Daphnia pulex: one gene and its partner. The protein of the gene in region 1 binds, or shares a complex with, the protein of each later gene. Links are inferred from orthologs where the notes say so. Each region holds a gene or a part of one and is shown on either strand. Other genes may lie near its edges.

Region 1 (8,020 bases):
CTTTGAGTCTACTTTAAACGCAACTAGAAACTACTTACCGAATTGTCGATTTGAGAGACATGGATGTTTTGATCCCAGAAGAAGAAAAGGGGTTAACAATTAGGCCGACGAAAGGCGCATCTTGCCGGGAAAACCATTGCTGGAATTCGTTCTAAAAGCAAACATTACAAATATAGAATGTGTAATCAAAGACATGACGACATACACTCTATGCTCACCTGAGTATTTAAATCGCGTAAAGAAGGGAGGGCAGGGAATGTCGGATGAGAGTGATACCAGCCTACAATTTCAAGACCGCGAGATCGTAACTCCTCACTGCCTTCTGTTTGTGAAACTGTAATAGCAGAAATTACACAGTTCAGTTTTTATGAAGTGTGATTTGATCAGCAGAAAAAACAAAACAATCTTACTAGGACACATTTCACATTGATGGTTAGTTGCCTGACTTCGACACGGTTGGGCGGCTTCGATGGATAACGTAGCCGGAGACTTATCCGATCCCGGATAGATGTGGCCTCCAAGTAAGCCAATAATTTCTGTTGTGCAAGTATGAGAATGGAGGTCAATAACTACAAGCGCTTCCACCGAAAGTTGTACGCTGAAAGGTGCCTTTAACAAAGAGAAACATTTTCCAATTAAACCATAATAATTTCATTCAAATAACAAAGAGATACCTCTTTCTCGCCACCGAAATTTAGACATGGAACTAACTGAAAAGGAGATTTCTCCTCAAGTTGTGGTTTTGTTCTTTTTTTCGGTTTTTGTTTTTGTGGACTAGTAGATCCTGAATTCGAAATGAATGAGCTCCCTTGAGAGCCGTCGTGGCTGATTGTGTACCCGCCATTCTCGTCTCCATTTTCATGATGGGGTCTCTTCTTCCTGACCCTTGCTGGTAGTCCGGAAATGAGAGGAAGGTTGTTCACAAAATGAGTACTGCTGTTCGCCATTCTCTCTCGATGGCAGGGCACTGGTGGCAACGGACGGTTGTATTGTACCTGATCTGTAGGATTTGAACGAATAAAAATGTTAAATGAACTGTGTAGAAATATCAAAGATAGAAAAGCATACCACATCCAAAGTTTATGGCCCCTGTCAATTCCAAGTAAGCGTGCACTCGGCTGATACAATTAACATCTCCGCAGTTTTTGAGGGAAGGACGAACGGATGTTTTCGTGAGGTAACGTGGTTTTACTCTGCGCCACTCTTGAACAATGCTGTTACGAATCTTCATGTACCTTTCCGGTGTTTTACTGGGACGACCCTCAAAGAAATCCCAATGAATCGTCTTTTCCTCATCTGTGATAATAGTAAATGCAACGGTTCGCTCTTCTAGGGGAGCTGGAAACGTGAAGACGGGCTGCGGGGGTTCAGCGTCCATTAATCCAACATCTGGGTTCTTGGAATCAGTCTCAGAAGATTCACATTCACTTTTATCTTCTTGTGCGTATTTTGTTGATGGCTCAGACGGCTGTGGTAGTGGTGGTGCCAGAGTTTCTATGATTTCAGCTTCTTGAATTTCGTTTTTAATTGGAACAGAAGAATCATCAGAAGATGACTGTAATTTTAGGGTTTCTTTTAAAATGGTTGGAGGTTTGTTGGCTGTACGTTCCTCTTCATCGTCACTGCAATCAATATCAACTTCGGAATCGCTAGAATCTACTAGTTCACTTGTTCTTTGTAATCGAATAATTTCTCCTTGAAGAATGGGAACCGGTTTCTTTGTAAGTGTGGCATCATCAATTATTATATTACAATTTGTTAATTGGGGGACGGATAAGTCTTTTGAAATTTTCCTAGGTCTTCCAGGCGCTTTCTTAACTAAGAGTGGATTTTTTACCCGCCTAAAGAAAGAATTTTAAAAATATCTATATTGAATCAATGGCAGTTATTGTTTAAATATTTGTCATACCTTATTTCTTTTGTAGGAGATTTTGGTTTTGAACGGTTCGTCTTTTTGCTATTTTTTGTCGGAGTCAAGTCCCACTTGGTAGGTGCCACACTAGCAATTACTTCTTCTGTGGATACAGCAGGGACTTCTGCTTCATAAACAATGTCACCCATAGAAAAGTGAAAGGTTGGTTCTTCGTTTGTAACTTCCACTTCATTGATGAACTGAGGAGGTGATGGGGTATTGGAAATGTGAACTGAGGAACTTGTAATAAGTTCTGGATGTGATTTAATGTAACTTTTCACTTGAAGAGTAGTCTTGGTTCCAACTGCTCTAGCAACCTTGCTCCAATTTTGATTGTGTAGACCCTTTAATAAAAGTATCAAGTAAGTTACACAGTCCTGCCATAATCAGTAACCACTCCGACACTTACAATTCCTTTACGAAGAGATGCAACATCATCTTTAGTCCACATAGGACTCACTTTTGAAGCAACTACAGCAGATGTTGTGGTTGATGGAGGGTTTGCCATGGGTAAACTGTTTGAAAAGTGTTTTTTCTCTTCATGGAGCATATTCTCCCAATTAAGTGTTTTGTTCTTATCTTCATTGGCATGATCCATCATTGGCATATTCCAAACCTGTGAGAAAGTTAGATCTTGCTGTACCCAAATATAAACCACTTTGAATAAAAATTTACTTGTGAACTTTCAAGAAGCCAAGGATGTTGCATATAATCGCCCAATAATTCCGAATTCTGTGTAGGAAACTCCCCGGCATCGTATTGGTTCAAATCCGTCCTGTGATCAAATGTCAGTTAGTACAAATAACATGCAAACAAAAGCTTGTACATACTCAAGATTTAGACAGAAATCCCCTAGAACATCAACTTCATCGTCGTCTTCCATTTTTCTTAACGAATGTGTTTTCACAACAAGCTTGATGCCTCTATCACTAATTATATGCCAATTTGCTGCAGACGACGTGTTGAGGGGGGGGGGAGGAAAATGTCGTATGCGATTCGCTTTACAAACAGAAATGCAACCACGCTTTCTTGCAGAAGACACTCGCAGACTCGGCTCAACCAAAAACAAAATCAGTTTCGAAGAGGTGTTAATGCTGGACGGTAGTTATAATGGATCGGGGCAAGAATTTGCCGCCTAAAAACTCCAAGTCAAAACCCCTTGGATTCTCTGGTGATTTTATTGCTCTTGGACCAAAGCAAAGTCGAGCAGAACCAGTTGATGCAAAGAAATCAGGATCTTCTTCAGGTGGTCCATCAAAACCCACTCCTGCTCCACTTCCTTCTTTGGGTAAAATGAGAACAAAAATATTTCTATTTCCATTCTTTCTTTCCCTGGTCCTGACCCTGACCAATAACTTGCTTATCATATCCTTTTATAAATTAAGTTTGAACATGGATTATAAAATTTTAAACTTATCCACATTCCTGTTTAACAATCTCTTTTAACTCGGTTCAGCTACTATTATTATTTATTCTTTCAGTCTGTACATTAGCCTTAAAGAATGATATGTTTCATGACTGTGTAGGTCCTTCAGATAAAAAGCGGGAAGCACCAAGCCAGCTGCCAGGTTCATCTCAAAATCCAGCTAAGAAAGCAAAGCCTGGGCTCCCAAATACTGCATCCTTTACTGCATTGGGAAGACCTGCTTTGAAGGCTGCTGATCCTCCCAGTCCAGGTTCGACTGGTAACAGACTAGAGCCATGGGAAGAAGCTGCTATAGAGGTAGAGTTACTCAATCTTCTGGATTTTATCAATTTATCTTTAAATAATGTTTCTTTATAAAAATTTATTCAAGATTGAAGCATCAGAGTTGTTGAATGCTATTGGAGAGGCTGAAAGTAATGATGATGAAGAAAGAATTGAAGCAATCCTATGTGGATCAGTTAAGCAACTGAAAGCCTTTAGTCTGAGTCAACGGAATAAAGTGGAACCCATTCTTGCACTAGCCCTTGTCTACTTAGCTAAATGGAGATCGCAATATTTCAACACCGAATTGATTGTTGAAGCTTTATTGGTATTACTCAAACGAGACGTTACCGCCAGTATTGGTCCTTTTAAAGGAAGGACAACTGCTTCTGCAGCTTCACTGGCTTGCAATTTGTTGTTAGCCGGTCTAGAAGATTCAACGGAATGGCCAGAATCTTTCTTGAAAGTTTTTGTCGAAGATTCCGTTGGAGAACGAGTTTGGGTAGATCGCGAAGAATGTCAAGGGTTTGTCGAGAATATCCTAACGGCATTCAACACCAAAGTCCCTTCAAGGAACATCCTTCAACAAGAAAGTGCTACTGGCACTGGACTTGGATCTTCTGGTGCTGCTAGTTCTCCTAGTATAACTTCTCTTGGCACCACTGGTCTTGAAGATGATGCCAGCGTGGATTCAGATAACAGTCAGGGTGGGCTGCTTCGAGGTTCAACTCATCTCGATCAGCAACAGGTAACAAGTGGGATTTAAATTATGCACATAGTTGTATTTTCATTGTTACCTTTTTCTTAGGTTCGAGTTATTCCTCGATTTCAACATCTCAAAGACATGGCAGAAGCACTTGTCATGGAAATAGTAAATCAACATTTAAGCAGGTATTAAAATATTTGAGTTGCATTAAGGTTAGGGTAATATAATCAATGGTTTCTCAGACGGCAGCAACCGGCATCTGACCTCACTACAAGGAACTTCTTAAAGTTTTTGACATCAACAGCTGGTTTGCCCGCTGTAAGAACTCAAGCTGCCCAGCGATTGGAAATGTGGCTTTCCAATCAAAAACTTGTGAGACCAGCCACCGACCTCCTCCTCTCGATCTGCGTCAATTGCAGTACCGAAGCTCCTACAGACACAGATGTTCTAAATGCTCTTCTACGTTTGAGATTAAAGGTAGTAATAACGTCAATGTTTTTGTTTTAATTTCAGAACAAAAATAGTAATACTTTCTTCTTTTGATTTTCAGAGTAAACCGCTGCTCCAGACATATCTAACTTGTTTTAAAGAATTGGTCGAGCAGCAGGTGGACCAGCTTCCACTCATTGTGCGGTTGTTAATATTCAATGAGCTCTCCCCTTCTCGAGGACCGAATAACATGGCAGTACTGGCTGTTTTGGTCCAACCGTGGCCTGATCGTGCTGCCACAATTTTAGCGGACGTTTTTATGGAACTTCTACTCAATCGTGACGATTACCTTCGGGCACTCAGGTATTTTGCATTTGCAATTCACAGACGTGGACTGGGTATAATTAATGTTATATGTTTTTAGAGCACTATTACGTGAAGTGGTTCGCGCTCTCCGCCACGACTTACCTTTACCGACATTTTGTGCAGCTCTTTTACACGGTTGTATGCAAGAGAGACGCAAAGTTGCAATCAGAGAATTCGAATTCAAGGTTCGGTAGTATTTAAAAAAAACCATGTTAGTAGCAATACGAAATAATATAATGACTTTTGATACCAGGATCGGCTTTTGAATTCATTGGCAGACTTGACGACTTTATGCATTTTCCTTGCCATAAGTCCAGGTGTGCGTGAATCAGCATCTTTGGTCGCCCGTGGAGATTTGAGAGAGATGGAACTTTTCCGACAGTTTCACGTCCAAGCATCGGCCGTCCAAAGAGAATCGATCAGCTGGTTAAGAACGTCCATCCCGTCCGTGTTTGAGCCCAATCGGGTCGATTATATGCACTGTCTCCGTAAAGTAAGTGTTGTAACGTTCAATTAATAGTTCATTAAATCTTAACCTACAACTTTATTTTAGGTTTTGTTTATGGAAAGTGGAGAGCATTATTACAATAAAGACGGTTGGCCACTCGAGTCGGATCGACCCATTATGATAAGATTGGCTTCTGAAATTCCCGTTATGGAGGTATTTTCCAATTGAAAACCAACTTTTGCGACTGATGATTTGTTAACCACATTTTATTTTTTCAGGATTCATTGATCCAAATCCTGCTCATTGGTTTGTCAAAAGATCATCCAATTACGGCTCCTGACGCATTAGATCTGGCTGATCAATTATTAAGACGATGTGCAGCAGTTCATAATCTAGGATTCCTTATGCTAGAGGCTGATAACCAAGAAATTTTTGACATGGTTTTCCGCCTCACAGCTTATCATTATCCTGAAAATATCGTCTTGCCACAAGGTATTCAAGCGTGTAATCTTATCTTAATTCGTCACAAGCTAATTTTTTTGTTACTTAAGGATATACTCCTCCAAATCTGGCAATTAGCACACTTTACTGGAAGGCTTGGTTGATGCTATTGATGCTGATTGCTCATAATCCTGGCAGTCTTGGGTCTGAAGCATGGAATTCATTCCCTACACTACGAGCATTGATGGAGATGTGTATCACAAATGATTTCGCTACTTCTTCTGGTACCACAGACCAGACAGAGTTGCAGGTGGCTGCAATTGAAAAGCAAACCATCTTGGAATTCGAAACACATCTAGCAGCCGCCTCTACAAAAACTGTTATTACCGAGAACAATTCTTTGCTGCTTAGTCAAGTATTAAAAGCGCTCTTAACTTTTGATTTTCTTGCAAATCATTGTAATATTTTACTTTAGTTGACATCGCTTGATCCACGAGGATCTACTCGACGACCTCCTCCAGCTGTTATTGAGCAGCTTCGAACTTTGAACGCAACACTTCGACTGGGTCACCTACTTTGTCGAAGTCGCCAACCGGACTTTTTATTGGAAATTCTGCATAGGTATGTGAAATAGTATGACTTCAAATAGCGAAATTCTAATCTAATTTTCTTCAATGCAAATTATTTTTTATGTAGGCAAGGAGCTGCGCAATCGAAGCCATGGTTGGCTGATTTGGTCGAGTCCAATGAAGGTGCTTGGAACGTTCTGCCTGTTCAATGTCTTTGTGAGTTTTTGCTGCACGAAGCAGCTGATGATCTGCCTGTTAATGATCTAATGGACGATAGTAAGCAACAGCTCGGCAAACGCAAGGAACGTCGTCACAAACACCAACAGTTGGTCCAGCATCTAAGACTTTTGTTGACTGATCCCAATCAACTACCCGAAGCATGCCGTGAAGTCCTAGACTATTTGATGAGACGATTGAGTGCTCAGAAAGCTCTCGCCCGTCACCAAGCCCTCACGGTAAGAGTTTATTTTCATAATCAACGAGTTTGCTTAAATAATTATACGGTTCAATGATTATACATTACGTTTGCATAATAGGCATTGAGTGTGGTCTTGGCAGTAAAAGACGATGATATTACCATGAGTGATGGTGCATGCTCCGAAGGAACAGGAGACGATTCCCAGTTCTCTTGGCTTGTTCATCAGTTACCTACCATCCCACATTTCGAAGCCGTACGCCCTGCCGTGATTGCCGCTCTACGGGCCGCCTTTCTAATTGAAACGCAACCACAAGCCGTAGCGGCGTACTTGAAGTTCTTATCCACCTGCGCTTTGGAAGAGCCAATTCAAGACCAAGCTGATCTTAGCTTGGTAAATAATTATATTGTAACTTTTTTTATCAGCGAAATGATATGTAATTACTGTGGTTTTATAATTACAGGATCTTGCCCAGGTAATTGTAGAGCGTAGCAGTTTAATTGCTGCTCTCTTACCTTCACCATCAAACAAAACGCTGCAAGCAGCAAAAACGCTGGAATGTTTCTTGCAACTCTTTTGGCATTACCTTCTCAAAGTAATTAATGCTGTTTCCAATTAATTTTTTGGCCAGTTGAAATGATAAAACTTGTATTTAATAGGCACGAGAGCCAAACAAAGGATCCTACACTTGGTCGGAGAATCAAGACCAAGTTTTGATACAGTGGCAATCTGGCGAAGCCGCTTCCCTTCACATTATGGTTGTTCACGCCATAGTGAGTCTGCTGACTTACGGAGCCCCTCAGCTTGAGCAGCAGTCAACCTGTTTCGGTCGACTACTAGAAATTTGGTTTCCTGCCAGCGGTGTACAACCCCAGGCCTATTTAGTCGAGACGACAGAGGAAGCCCATCTTTATCCTGACTGGATCAAACTTCGCATGATTCGAAGCTCTGTTGATCCTATAGTCGATACTGCCTTAAAGGATTTGGAGCCGGCTCAGATGATCCTCTTTATTCAATCCTTCGGCTTTCCTGTATTGTCTATGTCT
Region 2 (8,296 bases), on another chromosome or scaffold:
GTTAGTTCCAGATGAAGTCGTACCGGACGTCAAAGAGGTGAATTCGATTGGTCTGAAATCGAACTTGACAGGTTAAATACAATTCTGTTTCTTGACGTCGTTAGGTGGAAGTTAGTAGCACACAGGAAACGGTCGAACCACGACTTTTGGAGAGTCCAGTTTCCGATTCGGCTACTATCGGTTCTGAAGCACCCGCTTTGATTGTGACTGGAACAGCCATTGGCATTGCAGCCGCCGCTACAGCAGCAGTGGCATCAAAGGCTGCTGCCAAGTCTCCTGCCGCTAAGAAACCCGTCGCAGCTGCAAAGAAGACTACGTCTACTCCGTCAAAACCGGCTGCTAGTCCACTGGCCGCTAAACCTGCTGCCAGTTCACTAGCCGCTAAACCTGCTGCTAAGGATTCAGTTAAGAAACTGGAACCAGCTACACGGTATGCTAATAAATGATCACTGTACTAGATCTTTGGATTAATTGAATTTTTATTGATTTCTATAGCCGTGCTGCTACCACTGACGCTAAACCATCAGCTGATTCGACGAAACCAGCGCGTCCGACCAAATTATCTCCACTGAGAAAAGCTACTCCAGCTGCCCCTGCTTCTCCTGCTCCTAAGCCTGCTGCCCCTAGAGCAGCTCCTGCGACCACTAGACCTGCTGCCAAACCCGCAGTGTCTACTACATCGACGGTGAAAAAGACTACCACCACCACCACCACGACAACTGTCGCCAGCCGGACAGTTACTGCCACTCCAGCCAAGAGAGTAACGCCAGCTGTGAACGGAGTAGCCAAGACGGCATCTCCGGCCAAACCGGCCACGAGCACCTCGTCTTCTCGCACCACCGCTTCGACCACATCTGCGACACCACCGCGTCGTATCGTTTCCGCTCCTGCTAAAGCTTCCAGTGCCACTAGTCGCCCAGCCGCCACCGCAGCCACCAAATCTGCTGGTACTTATTACCTTTTGCTTGTATACATTCTTCCGCTGGATTTTCACATGTCAATTCTTTTTTGAAATGTGCAGCAGCTACTACCAACGGCGACATCAAGCCGAAACCCGCTGCTACGTCAACGACTCGCACTACGGCCAAGCCCATCGTTAATGGCACAGCTACGAAATCCGCTACTCCCAGACCCACCGCAGCCAGCACCAAACTCGCAGCCACTAAACCCGCAACAACCACCGCCACCCCTACTCGCCCGGCGCCATTGAAGAGTAAGGTTTCATTGTTTTTGCGGTTGTTGTTGTTGTTGTTCAGAGCGTGTTGGAAAAGAAGGGCGTTTTGATTGACTTTTAACATCTACCTTTTATCTCTCTCCTAAATTACATTTTCTTATTTTTTTATTTCTTCCCAGGTGTTGCAAGCAGAACGGCCACGCCTGGTAAGCCGATCGCAAAGACGACGACATCAACTTCCAAGCTTGGTGCAACCAAAACTGGTGCGGCAACCAAATCGCCGGGAGCAGCCAAATCAGCATCCAGCGCTTCGGCTGCTCCCGAAGTAACCACAGCAACACCCGAAGTCGCTCTTGCTCCTGCACCGGCCGACGCGGAATAATGTAGAGCAGGTTAAAAAGCATCAGAATTAAGCGTGTTTTAAATGTGAAAGGTTCGAGATAACCAAGGAGATTTAAAAAAATAGAGAGGGAAAAAGGAAATAACGAGTGGAAAACGCCCAACCATATTATAATAACTCCCTACCGCCGCCTGCTATGTATACCGCCCGTCTCTCTTTCATTCGCTCATGATTCATCGTCTGCCAGCTTTTTAAACGTTCTCGTTTTTTCTTTTAAATGTTTTTTTTTCCTCCATCGTTTGCAATTTTCTAAAAGACAATAAAGGTAAAAAAAAAATAATAATTAAAGATTTCAAAATAGTTGAATCCGAGCCGAAAGAGAGAAGAAACGAACAATTTAAGTACTAGGGAAATAAAGAAATGGAGAATGGCTACGTGAAAACTTTGTTGCGATTGCGGGCCCCTGTAAAGATATCAAGGAAGAGATTCAAGAATCATCAATCATTTTTCCCCCCTGCGTGTGAGTGAGCGTGTGTGAAAGCGTGTGCGTGAGTTAATGTACTGCTATCCCCCCTCCCCCCACATTTCTTTCTTGGCAACACACAACATCAACAATATGTAAAAGGATTGTGAAAACCTCTTTTACTTCCCCCTAATGGCTAAATATTACTTTCGCACGCCCTGCACTCCCACCCACCAACGCTCTTTCGGCTAATAATCACCTATTTTATTATTAACTGTATTCGTGTCAAAAGTCATGAAAGAAAATGTCGTCCCTTCGTTTTTTTTCCCCCTCTTGCTCGATTCCATAATTTCTTTTTGTTTTCTCTTTTGTGTTTGTGGGGTTTCATGATTTTCAATTTCAAATTTGCCGCGCACAGCAACGGTTTGCCTTTGCTTTTATTTTTCTCTCCCCCCCCCCCCTATTTTCTGTTGTTGATAGTCACGCCAATGTCCAGCCGAGGTGATTGTGTCCACTGCTGCTTCTTCCTACTCTCTTCTCTACTTCTTACAACCACATGGTAATTAATTTAAAATATTGATTGCGCTGATTTTTTTTTTAATTGGATGAGTTTCGTTTTTATACGTTCAAAGATTGTGTTTCCTTTCCGTCTTCAACTTTTGGATGCAATACCCTCCACATTTTGTAATCCATTACGTGAGAAGTGCGAGTTACAACATTGTAGCGCAAATAAATGAAAAGCAATGGGGAGAAACGTCTTTTTAAATCATTATAAGTTTATAACTTGCTATTATCATGTCCGTTGAGTGCAACATTAGTGCCCCTTGTAGCTTTGATCATCTTGTCATCTGCTCAGTCGGATGACGTGAGTCGTGAGCTATCCGAGCAATCCGGATTCGCCCTAATAAGGCGCCGTGTAAACTGTAGTTCCTACGTTTTGCCGCTAGAGGATCAGAATCAGTTTCGTCTGCTCGTTGCCTTGACAACACAATGGTTCACATGAAAATCAAGCTTGCTATGTAAACCACTCCATGGCGATTTGTTGATTGATTGTGGTCTTAAAAACACAATATTTTGCCAATAAAATGCCGATGCCACCGATTCGTTCCGTTTCGAAACGAAATGTTTCGCCTCGTGTGTTTCAAGCTCTACAGAATTTGGATGTAGATAACTTAGCGGAATGTAACGAAGAAGAAATTCGAGCTGTTATGCCATGTTTGGCTAGAATGAGTTTGATAGGCCCACTGGACCAATCTAGTGAATGCACCAAATCTCGAAGAATGGTCTTCCAAATATTATCCGGTCGTGAAATTGTCAATTCCATAGTTGGGTTACTTTCAATTGATTTCCATGCTCTTGAGGTTGACGTCAAGAAAGAACAAATGCTACGGTATTTTCTTTACTATTGTTATGACTACTTCTTTTATTTTTAATCAAAATTTGTATTGCAGTCAAAAGCTTGGTAATCAAACTGAAGACTCTGTCTTGATTCAGTCACTATCAAACAGTTATGCACTGGAATTTGAAAGGAGTGATCCAACGAGGAAATTAAGGCTGTTTCTCAGTGAGCTCCTCACACTCATGGCACAAGTAGATTCCTCATAAAGCATTCATTTTCCACAATATTATTGTTTCTTATTTTAATTTCTAGAGCAAAGAAATCAGACCAGAAACCACATACAAAAGCAGTGAACTGTTGGACCAGGAAATCTATTTTGATGAAGTAGCTGATGTGCTGTGTGTTGCTTTAGCAGAGCTGACAATTCTGCTACCTATAACAGAAGTTGCAGAAGCTCTCTTGAGAACACTTCACGGTCCATCTTTCATATGTCGAATAGTGGCTAATATGCCTGATACTTTCAATGAAGGTAATATTTTTCCAAAGTGTGGTTTGAACTATATTTTAGAAGTAGTTTGTTTCAAGTTTGCCAGAGTTTGATTAGCAATGGTGAAAGATATGAAGAAGAATCCTTCCTTGGACGGGCCAGATTAGAAACACTTAGATCCCTCTGCAGGATGTGCCCAAATCAGATTTTGATGATCCAACTTAAATGTGTAAGTTTTTTTATCTCTGACAAAGCTTTGTTCTCTTTAGTTTAAGGTTTTTTTCCCTATCAGGTGGAGATGTGCAGAATGCCGGCTCTGGCTGTTTTACTTAGTTTGGACTATGCATCCTGCCATAAAATGATCAAAACAGATAAAATTGAAACCCAGTTGGGAGATGTCGTACCGTTTATCTCTGGTCTACTTTTGGGTGGAGATGCAAATATCCGCACCTGGTTTTCTCTTTTCATTAGGAATGGACAAAAGGTTTAGCTTTCTTTAAATGTACTTTATGTTAGCCGTCAACGTATTTAACTCTATTTCCTTATTTTACAGCGACATGATCGTGCCACTGCGTTACATACTTTACGCCAAGAGCTACTGAGAAGTTTGCAGTCGTTTGTTCAAATGGCTGCTGATGAGCCGTTACCTGACCGTTGTGCTGTTGATGCGTCGGCCCTTTTACGACTGTATTGTGCTTTAAAAGTAATTCTATTCATTCCAATAATAGTATGTTAGATAGGGGTGTTGGAATTGAAAAACTAACCCTTTATTTCAATATTTGTAGGGTATAGCAGGAATGAAGTTGTACGACGAAGAAGGTGGGCTTTTATTGCAATTAATTACCTGTCGTCCACCGCCAACCGAAGCTGGCCTTCGTTTCGTTGCCCTGGGACTCTGCATGCTGATGGCTTGTCCATCTCTCATCGCCTTGCCCGACCAAGAACAAAGCGGTTTTCGATGGGTATAATCGCAAGTTATTCGTAATTAATATCAGTTGTTATATTTTGTGATTTTAGGTGAAATGGTTGGTGAGGGAAGAAAGCTACTTTGAAAAATCGCCAGCGACTTCCTCTGGCAAGTGCATGGAAACAGCGAGGAGCAGTTTTGGAGAGATGTTATTACTAATGGCTATCCACTTTCACAGTGGACAGTTGAGCGCAGTTTGCGACCTGGTCTGCTCAACGCTTGGCATGAGGCTTTTACTCCGGCCCGCTTCTACTGCTCGTATGAAGGTGGCATTTACTCAAGACATATTCCCAGAGCAGGTTTGAGCTTTGTTAACAAGTTTATTTGGTCAAAATCTTATCCTTTTAAATTCGAATGTTAGGTGGTGACATCTCACGCTGTCCGAGTGCCCGTCACTCCCGGTTTGAATGCAGACGTTGCAGGATTCCTTCCAGTTCACTGCATCTATCAGTTGTTGAAAAGCCGAGCTTTTAGTAAGCATCGCGTGCCGATCAAGACCTGGGTTTACCGCCAGCTTTGCGAGAGCCGTCCTCCATTGCATCCACTTCTTCCTAGTTTGGTCGAAGTTTATGTTAGCTCGATCCTGACGTTATCTCCATCGAAAAACCAACAGAATCAATCGGGCGTAGCTGGTTCCATTGACATTGGCCATGACCCAATCAGCGAAGAGGAAATTCGAGTTGTGTTCGCCAACAGTTTTTCCAGGAACGTTCGCCGAGCTAGCACAGACGGGCAGGAGCATTCCGTCACGGCCCAGCTTTTACTTTTATATTACGCTCTACTGTATGAGGATACTCGTCTGACTCAAGTCAAAAACTACTTGGTGGCTGGTATCAATATCAAATCCTATTCTCAGTCGTTCTTCGCCGATTTGCCTATTCGATATTTGATCAGTCAAGCGGAAAAAGAACAACACCTTTATGCGGGTAACATTTAAAAGCAAGATTGGCCATTTTCTCCAATCCGCATGTTAATCCTTTGTTATTTATCAAATATCGATAGGACTCTTTTCACCATTATTACGGCTTTTAGCCACTCATTTTCCACAGCTGTGTTTGGTGGAAGATTGGATGTATGAAGTCAACGATAGCCAATTGTCTTCTTTATGCAGCCCACATGGATCTGTTCCAACTTGTTCGTCGCAGACTGTGAGCCAAGGTAATCATTTTGTGAGAAATTTTGTATGTACTTTGGAATTAGAAGTAAAAGTTTTTTTTTTTTTTTTTTTGTTCATTTAAAGCTTTCACCGACGTAGCCGGTTGTCCAGCACCGGCCATGCTGTTGATGCAGAAGCTCTTGGCTATGCCACCAAAATCATTGTGGCAAGTGGCGCACTCCTTCATCTCGCACTTTCGATCGACCCTCAATGAAGCTGTTCCCAGACAGGTTCAAGGTATGTTTCATGTTCTAGAATCATTGAAGAATTTATATCCTGTAAAAAACCAATTTTCTTCAGAGATGTATCGCCAAGTTTGGTTGAAACTGAACTCGATCCTGCCTCGTCAACTCTGGGTAATGACGGCCAATGCTGTCCGGCTGCAGCTTTCTTTGGAAGATTGTCCACCTCCTACTCTAACGCAGGATCATTTGACGTTTGACCCACTTCACGTTTTGCGGTGTGATCCACGAGTTTTTAGGTAATTTTACAACAAATGAAATTAGTAACTGACGATTGGTCATTATTGTTTTTGTTTTTTTTTATCAGGTGCCCACCGGCTATGCAAATTGTTCTATACATGCTCAAAGCATGGCTAGGTGCATCTCGAACCCATTTGTCACGTCATTTACTCGACAAACCGCTTTTCGGTCCTGTTGCTGCACAAGGGCCTGGCAATTTGGCAGGAGTCACGTCGGACAGCGAACGTGAAGAGCTTAAAATGGCCTTGATCGCTGCACAAGAAAGCTCTGTCGTTCAGATAGTACTCGAGCTTTGCCTACAGACTCCCGAGGATGAGGTAATTGATATTCTTTTCAAAAGCATCAAGTTGAACTTTATTTCTCACAAGGTACCTTTTTATCCCAGGCAAACGATCAACGGCTTTCAGAACTGCGTGAGATTCAGAGCATTGTTTGTTCTTTCCTCCATCAACTTTTTATTGCCGATCCAAATTTGGTCAAATTAGTCCATTTCCAGGTACTTTGGATAGTTGAAACATGCTTGAACAATTTATAATGATTGATATTCATTTGATAGGGTTATCCTTCGGCTCTCTTGCCGTTGACGACACAGGGTATCCCTTCCATGCACATTTGTCTCGATTTTCTGCCCGAGTTACTTGCCCAGCCTATTATCGGGGACTTGGCCAAGCAGCTCTTTGCTGTTGATCTCATATCACACCTGTCTTTACAGTACGCACTGCCTAGATCTTTTAATGTTGCCCGTCTGGCTGTCAACACTCTATCCACCCTTCTCAGCGGTAAAGAAATCAATTACCTATCGATTTAGATATTCGTGTAACATGTTCTTTATTCGGTCCAGTTTTACCAAGCAATGGTCGTACGGAAATTTACCTGCCAGCTCTTCCTGCACTTGTGAGAATAGCTACAGCTTTTCCACCATTAGTTGACGACATTGTGAGCTTTTTGGTTCAATTGGGACGCGTTTGCTTATCGCAATCATGTCTACACGGCTCGTACGATCACCGCATCGTCAGCTCCCTGCTCCGTCAGCTGGATCACGAGATGGTTGTTGATGAGGAGGAAGAAATGGAGGAAGCAGAAGTCGTTTCGGAAAAAATCAAGGAAGAAATTGTCACGCCTCCAGAAGATGATGAAAGCCCAATGGAAGTGGATATCAAGAAAGAACGAGAGGAAGGAGAATTAGAAGAAGGGGAATTGCCCGATGCTAAAACTAATAATCCGCCCAGCAATCCATCTGCACCCGTCGTCCCAATAGACAGCAAATCTAAAGCCGTCGATTTCTCTGCTTCCTCCGACCTGTCTGTGCCTTTCACTCCGACTCAAATCCGCCAACTGTTCAAATTGCTTCCGGAATCGAGTTTAATGGGCGCCGAAGTCTCTCGGACCTTTTCTCAACTTTGCAACAAAGCCATTCTACACAAGAAAATCTACTGAGACACAATTCTGCACAATTGAAAATTCTTTTTTATGTATCCTGTTACTTCGCCCAGCAACAGCGACGATGTGTATTGTAAAGTAAATACAATCAAAAGAGTATCCAAAAAAAAACTGGAGGAGGAAATTTTCTTTTTTCTCGAGAACATGAAGTGACGTGTGCTCTTCTTTGATGAAAAAAAAAGATGAAAGTGAACAACTCGCAAGAAACTCGGACAAGGGGAACTGTTGTCTTAAAAAAAACCCGCACCGAAATCAACGTTAACTGGCAGGTAGGTAGTAATGGTGGCGGTTGTGCTGATTTATCAAACTTGATACTGTACCCGTTTTACTGAATAATAAAAGGGAACAAAATGTGGACACAGTATCAAAATAGACGCACATCTTCCGCGTTTTTCGGCCGCCCTTTTTTTCCCCTTAGAAAAGGGGTTAAATGAAAAGATCTGTGTAG

The links. The genes of interacting proteins can lie anywhere in the genome.
Region 2: the proteins of integrator complex subunit 1-like (region 1) and integrator complex subunit 2-like are in contact, whole or in part, in a cryo-EM structure (PDB 8RC4), measured with the Homo sapiens proteins. The link is inferred for Daphnia pulex from reciprocal best matches to the Homo sapiens genes INTS1 and INTS2. Residues at the interface, in NP_001073922.2 of Homo sapiens: Gly561, Ile562, Ala563, Trp564, Asp565, Lys566, Gly567, Ser982, His1055, Met1056, Thr1058, Pro1060, Glu1095, Arg1096, Thr1098, Ile1099, His1102, Leu1107, Arg1225, Ser1250, Phe1251, Gly1252, Ile1253, Tyr1285, His1288, Glu1291, Val1292, Gln1293, Glu1295, Arg1296; in NP_065799.2 of Homo sapiens: Pro40, Leu54, Lys69, Leu72, Arg73, Leu75, Ser76, Gly77, Val78, Glu79, Val81, Asn82, Val85, Gly125, Thr127, Leu128, Glu131, His132, Glu166, Val172, Tyr173, Glu176, Arg322, Gln325, Gln326, Arg329, Gly400, Lys402, Thr769, Met772.

What each region holds. Positions count from the first base shown.
Region 1 is NC_060019.1:12,569,481-12,577,500, reverse strand, and holds the start of integrator complex subunit 1-like, read left to right. Parts: upstream 1-2,952; 5' UTR 2,953-3,022; coding exon 3,023-3,200; intron 3,201-3,438; coding exon 3,439-3,635; intron 3,636-3,708; coding exon 3,709-4,347; intron 4,348-4,407; coding exon 4,408-4,490; intron 4,491-4,547; coding exon 4,548-4,782; intron 4,783-4,855; coding exon 4,856-5,097; intron 5,098-5,158; coding exon 5,159-5,285; intron 5,286-5,353; coding exon 5,354-5,593; intron 5,594-5,653; coding exon 5,654-5,761; intron 5,762-5,826; coding exon 5,827-6,040; intron 6,041-6,099; coding exon 6,100-6,404; intron 6,405-6,464; coding exon 6,465-6,610; intron 6,611-6,685; coding exon 6,686-7,013; intron 7,014-7,094; coding exon 7,095-7,367; intron 7,368-7,437; coding exon 7,438-7,569; intron 7,570-7,633; coding exon 7,634-8,020. Other genes in the region: histone H2A deubiquitinase MYSM1-like, read right to left, coding at 39-151, 219-334, 411-609, 675-1,000, 1,069-1,841, 1,910-2,256, 2,322-2,528, 2,588-2,687 and 1 more. UniProt on the Homo sapiens protein: Component of the integrator complex, a multiprotein complex that terminates RNA polymerase II (Pol II) transcription in the promoter-proximal region of genes.
Region 2 is NC_060027.1:803,680-811,975, reverse strand, and holds integrator complex subunit 2-like, read left to right. Parts: upstream 1-2,947; 5' UTR 2,948-3,062; coding exon 3,063-3,367; intron 3,368-3,428; coding exon 3,429-3,567; intron 3,568-3,628; coding exon 3,629-3,845; intron 3,846-3,901; coding exon 3,902-4,032; intron 4,033-4,095; coding exon 4,096-4,287; intron 4,288-4,356; coding exon 4,357-4,506; intron 4,507-4,588; coding exon 4,589-4,765; intron 4,766-4,820; coding exon 4,821-5,069; intron 5,070-5,131; coding exon 5,132-5,696; intron 5,697-5,772; coding exon 5,773-5,928; intron 5,929-6,010; coding exon 6,011-6,163; intron 6,164-6,226; coding exon 6,227-6,407; intron 6,408-6,475; coding exon 6,476-6,725; intron 6,726-6,793; coding exon 6,794-6,904; intron 6,905-6,964; coding exon 6,965-7,187; intron 7,188-7,249; coding exon 7,250-7,845; 3' UTR 7,846-7,959; downstream 7,960-8,296. Other genes in the region: microtubule-associated protein 4-like, read left to right, coding at 1-37, 105-430, 496-947, 1,022-1,213, 1,354-1,556. UniProt on the Homo sapiens protein: Component of the integrator complex, a multiprotein complex that terminates RNA polymerase II (Pol II) transcription in the promoter-proximal region of genes.